2 linked regions of the Arabidopsis thaliana genome follow. The protein of the gene in region 1 purifies or fractionates together with the protein of each later gene. This does not show direct contact. Each region holds a gene or a part of one and is shown in the gene's direction. Other genes may lie near its edges.

What was found.
Region 2: the proteins of BXL1 (region 1) and AT4G28440 fractionate together in Arabidopsis thaliana (co-fractionation; one large-scale study listed by BioGRID). This does not show direct contact.

Annotation. Positions count from the first base shown.
Region 1 is NC_003076.8:20,015,120-20,019,049, reverse strand, and holds the start of BXL1 (beta-xylosidase 1), read left to right. Parts: upstream 1-2,192; 5' UTR 2,193-2,390; coding exon 2,391-2,810; intron 2,811-3,384; coding exon 3,385-3,666; intron 3,667-3,930. UniProt on the Arabidopsis thaliana protein: Involved in pectic arabinan modification in mucilage secretory cells. Also acts as a beta-D-xylosidase during the remodeling of xylans in vascular development.
Region 2 is NC_003075.7:14,057,823-14,061,752, forward strand, and holds AT4G28440 (Nucleic acid-binding, OB-fold-like protein), read left to right. Parts: upstream 1-2,073; 5' UTR 2,074-2,231; coding exon 2,232-2,499; intron 2,500-2,954; coding exon 2,955-3,148; 3' UTR 3,149-3,564; downstream 3,565-3,930. Other genes in the region: AT4G28430 (Reticulon family protein), read left to right, coding at 24-561, 642-795, 888-962, 1,046-1,187, 1,291-1,360, 1,472-1,537, 1,622-1,950; AT4G28450 (WD repeat and SOF domain-containing protein 1), read right to left, coding at 3,902-3,930.

The DNA of each region.
Region 1 (3,930 bases):
GGTTGCTCAGACCACTTGTGAACCGTACAGTTATAAACTTATAATCATTCCACCAATCCCATTTCAGATTCCTATTTTACGTTATATATTCACAAGTCTTCTTTTTTTTCTCCCGTAGCTTTATGTTTTGGCTTTTGTTTGCATCAACCTTACCTTGTGCAATTTGTTCTTTTGTCTTTAATTAGGTAAAACGAGAACTTTGGTTATAACTATCCATCAGTTTACCGTTAACGGTCAAAACTTTGTCAATGACAGAATGGTATATAGTCATTCGTTGTCAACGAATATATGAGAAGTTGTTAGAAGGAATTGAAATCTTTCTATTTACATAAACTTTCGTATCCAGTATAACTCGAACGAGAAAAGTAATTACAAGCAGGTTTATACTTATAATAATAATAATAATTCGTTCTAGTGTTTTCATTACAGAAGCAATATTTGGTTGTATTAGACCACAAGTATCTATACCCGAAACAAAAGAAAACGAGCGTCGTTATGTTGATGGGTCAATTATTTAATAATTGATGAATATCTCTAACAATAAGCTGATCTGTTAGAAACTTATAATAAAGAAGACCAATAAATCAAATAACAATTAGGAAAATAAATAAAGAAGTATGGGCAACATGACTAGATGCTTATTATTGGCCAATTTGGTAAAGAGTCGATCGATGCTCGAGACCCGTGACAACCTTCTCTGTCTGTCTCACAGCTTTATTAGGTCTTACGTTTCATTTTTGAATTTCTTTATAACTAAATCTGTAAATGTTTCTATATAGATATTCTAATTGATAAACTAAATATACTTCTCTCTGTTTATTTATGGGTTATTTATTTGCTCATAGTGTCATTGCCTCGTCTGACCACGACCTTGTTCGCGTGGTTTTTTCCCATGCCTATACATTGATCTAACCATATGTGCATAAAATTACTTACAAAATATATGTATGCTAATAAAGAGGACTGAAATCAAGAATAGTCTTCAAAATTTGCATAAAACGTGTATTTTTGCCATATCAAACGTTTATAATTCTCATTCATGACTAAAAATACAGTTGGAGGGATCCAATGTCTAAGTCCATAATAAATCTTTCAACTATACTAAACGGACATGAAGTGGTTCATGTGTAAATACTCTTACATGCCACCAAACTTAATTTTAAAATTCCACCAACTAAATATTTTTGTCTAGATTATAAGAAACTTTTGATTACAAAAGTGTACTCCCCAAGGCCCCAAATGTTTTGTATGAAAAAATTGTTGTATAATCTGATCAATAATATATCTGCAAACATATTAATATAAAATTGTTAAAATGTTTGAACAAGGAATTAGTAAATTAGTATAAAATGTCAGAACTTACAAAATTGAAGTAGTTTGTTAGCTGTATAATGGCATGCAAAGAGTGAGTTATGGTTTAATTAAATGTAATAGTAAGTCCATTAAAACAAAAGAGCTAAGATTATAACATTTTTTAACTAGCGTTAGGGATTATGCGGATGTAGTGGCGGCGGTGGGGCACGAGTCCAAGCATGGACATGACTGGAGGCTACGGTAGGTGGTTTCAACGATATATAATTAACAACAAATGAGTCTTTAACGTTGAAAAAAAATTAACGACAAATGAGTCTTTAACGTTGAAAAAGTTTAACAGGTTGATTGATGTGTTGATTAGTTAATATTACTGATATATTTATGTTATTTGTAGCACATTAAAATTGAGGAAACACATTAAAACCTTCATGATAAATAGTCACAACAGTTATATGTATTTTCTTTATAAATAAAAAAAAATATTTATTTCACTCACATTTATCTTAAAATTAGCCATTGTTTTTTCTCTGTAATAGATCTATCGAACATAGTTGCTACCGAATTTTTCATTTTATCGAAGACCATTTTAAAAATATTATAATGAACGATTCTTTGCATAACCAGCATATTTATATATAAGTTACGATAAAATTATAATTAGACGTTGTGCGCTTCAAATAATCATCATCACTGGTGTTGCTTGAGTCTTTATATTGACAAATGTGATCGTACTGAGAAAACGTAAAAATAATGTTGAAGAAAGGAAAAACAAACTGACGCTTTTGAAAAAGGGAAAACAAACTATTAATTTTTTAAATGTTTTCAACAAAAAAAGTTTTTTCTTTTTCTTTTGAGATATCTCATTTTCGTAACCTGTCCAGCTAGATCGTTTTATCTCTATCTTATTTTATGTTCATAACAAGAGTCTCTTATCCTTTGTCATCAATTTTCGCCGAAAAGATCTCTATAAATACCATCATTCACTTTCTATCACATGAAAACTAAAAAACACAAACATCACATGTATACACACATATAGTTACAAACACACATACACAAAACACAGATATATAAAAATGTCTTGTTATAATAAAGCACTATTGATCGGCAACAAAGTCGTCGTTATACTTGTATTCCTCTTATGTTTGGTTCACTCGTCAGAGTCACTTCGACCACTGTTTGCATGTGATCCAGCAAACGGGTTAACCCGGACGCTCCGGTTCTGTCGGGCCAATGTACCGATCCATGTGAGAGTTCAAGATTTGCTCGGAAGGCTCACGTTGCAGGAGAAGATCCGCAACCTCGTCAACAATGCTGCCGCCGTACCACGTCTCGGTATTGGAGGCTATGAGTGGTGGTCCGAGGCTCTCCACGGCATTTCCGACGTTGGTCCAGGCGCTAAGTTCGGTGGTGCTTTTCCCGGTGCCACCAGCTTCCCTCAGGTCATCACCACCGCAGCTTCTTTCAACCAGTCTCTATGGGAAGAGATCGGACGGGTGAGAATAATTTAAGAATATTATGCTTTAAAATACATTTTTAAAAAAAGGAAGAGAATATAAAATTTATGATTTTTCTACGTGAAAAAACGACATTGAAATGGACATTGTAGAAGACTAGAAGTCATACAGTAGAGTTTGTAGTGGGACGCTCTATATTTTTTTTTTTTATAAAATTATAAATCTTGAATATTATGATTTTCATTTGAATTATATCTGACTACGACATGAGTCTATCAAATAAGTCCGAAACGTAAGTTAGAAAAAATCCAAAAACCGATAATATTTTCCTTTAGACATCAAATGCAAAACCAATATATAAATTTATATGGGTACTACCAAACTTTTATTTTGTAATGTTTTTGATAAATTACTTAGTGTGTATATATGCTGTACTGATATCCACGATACTTCCATAGTTAATATGATGATGGGCAAGCTAGCTATAACCAGTGAATATAAGAGAATACTTTTTAACATATGGTTTATATATCAAGTATATTTATTTCTTTCAACAAAAGCAAAGGTGTGTGGAGAATATCTTAATATTGACATGATTTAAAATGAATAAAAGGTGGTGTCTGATGAGGCAAGAGCTATGTACAATGGTGGCGTGGCCGGTCTGACATATTGGAGTCCGAATGTGAATATCTTGAGGGACCCGCGGTGGGGCCGAGGCCAAGAAACTCCCGGAGAAGATCCTATCGTTGCCGCAAAATATGCCGCCAGCTACGTCCGGGGACTTCAGGGTACTGCTGCCGGTAACCGCCTTAAAGTCGCCGCATGTTGCAAACATTACACTGCTTATGATCTTGATAATTGGAATGGCGTCGACCGTTTCCACTTCAACGCTAAGGTAAATCTTCTTCACATATTATATATATCTAATATCGTATATAGTAAGAAAATATTTTGCAATTTATTATCAAATTTATATAACCAATTTTGCATGTTTTGTTTCAAAGTTTGTATGCATGTTTCATTTCAAAATTATATTTTTGCAATTCATTTTGAGGCTAACTTCTTATTGTTTGGTCGAAAAATGCCAAAAATCTTTGAAATTTAGATATTAGACATTGTTATATATTTGTAATTTGTGTGGAAATAAAAGAGAACCCGT
Region 2 (3,930 bases), on another chromosome or scaffold:
CCCAAAAAAAACTTTCTCATACAATGGACTCTACTACCACACCTCCTTCTCTCCGTTCGAATACTAGATCCGCTTTGCGTCTAGCTCGAAACAACAAAACTCTCGTAAAATCTCACATTCCATCTCTCGATTTGGTTTTATTGTCTCCGAAGAACAACAACGGTACTCCTTACCCATCACCTGTTTCTCTCAGTTCACCATCTTCTCCTGTTACTCTTCGTGAGATTCTCCTTTTATCTCCTTCCCCTCTTCGTAAATCGAGAACCCGTTTAAGCAATCGGTTCGATATGGAAGCTGCGGAGGCTGCTGTGACGGCACGACGGAGTAAGACGAAGGGAGGGCAAAATGGTCTTTTGGCCTCGCCGTCGCCGAGGAATTTCCGGAGGTCGAGACTAAGGTCGGAGGCGATGGTAGATACAAAGGAAAATACGGAGCCAATTGTTGTCGTGACCGATGAAAAGAAACAAAACCAGAGGAAACAGAAGAAGTTGGGTCGATCTAAGAAGGAGAAGCACAGTTCTGTTCCTCTGTTAGCTTCTCCTAGTCCATCTTCAGATCAACGTATGTCCTTCCTCTGTCTATTAGCTCATTCGATTTCACTTTCGTGCTCTAATAATTGCTCAATGATTTGTGTAATTCAGCTCAAGATGTTTGTCAAGGTGATTTAGAGCGGATTAGAGAGAATATAAGCGATTTGATTATGTGGAGAGATGTTGCGAAATCAACACTTTGGTTTGGTTTTGGCTGTATATGTTTCCTATCTACTTGCTTTGCTGCTAAAGGATTTAACTTTAGGTAACATTGATTTCTCTGTCAAGGTTTATCTTTCTAGCTTTAATCATTTTTCACATTCATGAGTTGATAATGAAACTTTGTGTGGTTTGAAGTGTTTTCTCAGCGATCTCCTATCTTGGACTTTTGTTTCTTGGGGTATCGTTCTTGTCAAATACTCTTCGCCAAAGGTACAAACTTTTAAGGTCCCAGTACATAAATATCAGCTTGAACTGCAGTTGACTGAAGTTTTGATCCATTTGTTACCATAAAGGGTTACTGAAGAAGCGCGGAGAGAGCTTAAATTGAGTGAAGATGATGTATTACGAATAGCTAGACGAATGCTTCCCATCACCAATTTAGCAATTTCAAAGACGAGTGAGCTTTTCTCTGGTGAACCAGCAATGACACTCAAAGTAGAATTTACAAAACTTTGCCATTCTCATAAAACTTCTCTCCAATGAATGTGACTCTCACGTTGATTTTGTCCTTCTTACACTGTTTTTACTTTGATTTCAGGTGGCACCTTTTGTTCTAATGGGAGCTGAGTATGGTTACCTCATAACATTGTGGAGATTATGTGCTTTTGGTATGATTGTTGAAACACTATATGTCAACATTACTCCAAAGAAAGCTAAACTGTTTTCTTTAGTTGTATCTAGTAGAATTGACACAGAGTATGCATTGTTTCTTTAAACAGGTTTCTTCCTTAGCTTCACTATTCCAAAGCTATATTCATGTTACGCAAGTCAGCTTAACCAAAAAGGTAAACTCTATTAACAGACTGCGTAGCTCTTTGATGGTTCCAATGATTGACACTAAGGATTCTTTGATCTTTGCTTATGTGTAGTTGAGTGTGCACAAAGGAGATTTGTTGAAGCTTGGGGAGTTTGCACACACAAGAAATTCGTAGCAGGCTCTGCAGTTACTGCATTCTGGAATCTAACTTCTCTCAAGACCCGTTTTATTGCAGTGTTTATCATAGTAGTAGTAATCAGATACAGACGACAGAATCTACAGTTAGATTCCGAGGATGAGGAGGAGAAGAAGCAACAAGAAAAAACTCACCCGGAGCAACAAAAATCGCCGGAGGATAAGTCAACTTCACCGCGGTCAGCAGAAGAAGAGCAAGCGTTGGTGCTAGTTGCAGAAACCAAAGCACCAAAGAAGCTTTATTAGTCTAGTCACTAGTGTCTTTTCAGTATCCACCTGTGTAATAATATTTCACATTTACGTAATAATAAATAAAGAGCAGTCATTAATATCAAATAATAAATTGACACGTGACAAGCTCATGAAACTGTGAGAAGCAGGTGATAAAAACTCTCGTCCGTCTTGGGAGAGAGCACATCGTCGTCTTTTCTTTATAAACCCTAAATTCCCATTTCTCTTCTCCAAAAGTTTTATCGATTCCACCAAATTAGGGCGAACGCGAAATCTGGGTATTGTAATTTGAAGCGATGGCGACGACTGGAACTGCTGCGGTTGCGACGGGAACTTCGACGGTGAAGAGAAAACCGGTGTTTGTGAAGGTGGAACAGCTAAAGCCTGGAACGACTGGTCACACGTTGACTGTTAAAGTCATTGAGGCTAATATCGTGGTTCCTGTTACCCGGAAGACTCGTCCAGCGAGTTCTCTGAGTCGTCCTTCTCAGCCTAGTCGAATCGTTGAGTGTCTCATCGGTGACGAAACTGGGTGTATCCTCTTCACTGCTCGTAACGATCAAGGTTATTGTTTCTCCACTTTTCTCTTGCTTTATGGATATAGAAATGGTGTCTTCGTAGTTTATTAGAGTGATAAGTCTTATCCTTTGTTGTTCTCTCGTTTGTCTTAATCAATTTCTATTTTGAGCAAATGGTAAATGTGTTTCTATTAGTACTATTTGGTAAATGATGTATCAGTTATTGTATGTGTATTTAGTGATGTCTTTGTGAAATTGAAGCTTGAAAGAATCTTGGCCTTGAGGGTCTGTAACTCTGTATAGTCTTACCTATAGTGATGATGAAACTTGCTTGGTTAGATGTTGAGTTATGTTCAATTGAATGGTCTACATTATCCCAAAACTTTCATAGCTTTTCATAATGTGAAGTTTTGTTATACCAGTTTTCGTGCAATTGATGTGGCTACTGATTAGCTCTAATGATGTTATTGGTTTTTTTTGTGTGTGTGTGTGTGTGTATAGTTGATCTTATGAAGCCGGGTGCTACGGTGATACTGCGCAATTCAAGGATAGACATGTTCAAGGGTACAATGAGGCTAGGAGTTGATAAATGGGGACGCATCGAAGCCACTGGAGCCGCGTCTTTCACTGTCAAGGAGGATAACAATCTGTCTCTCGTTGAGTATGAACTGATCAATGTTGGTGGTGATCAGTGATCTTTTAGTATGTTTATGGAGGTTAACCCCTGAGAGTGTTGGGTTCTGATTTTTCTACCGTGAAGGTCTTTGATTTAGATGATGAAGATTGTATGACTGGTCCAGAGTTGCTTGTAGGAATATGCTTCTTCTTTTTTACCCTAAAATATGCGGTCATGATCTTGCTCTGGAGAACTATTGAGCCTGCGGTAATGGCGTAATGCAATTGTTCCTTTTAATTTGTGTTGATGTAAGTTAAAGACCATTGAGAGCTTGCTTGTGCACTATCTAATACAGTAAAAATAAGTTTTTCTTTCTTAAACTTTACTAATGTCTTTGTTTTTTCATTAATTACTATTTGATGTACACTATTGTACCCTCTCGGTTACAGAGAGTTTTGCCCAACTTTTTACATCGAAAGCATCTCATCCTTGATTAATGTCATTGTTAAGACAAATTGTAAGTGCATAAAATTCATCGACGGATCATAGAACCATTGTCTAGTTAAGTCGGTCTAATTCCAAACTTTATAAATCTTTGAAATCAGAATGTTACTTTGAAGATCAGCTTTGTAACACCAAAAACGAATAGTTAATGAACACAATACGTAGTGAAGAGAAAAAAGAAAACGAAATGGGTAATAACTTAATGGCATAAAGAAAGGCTTACAACACAGCAAAAATGTTCATGTTCCTAATCTTACCCTCACTATACCAATACAATCCTCTCCACGTATCATCATCCTTGAAAGGAACAAACGGAGAAAGAGTAGAGTCACTCCACTTCTTTGATGATCTTTCTTT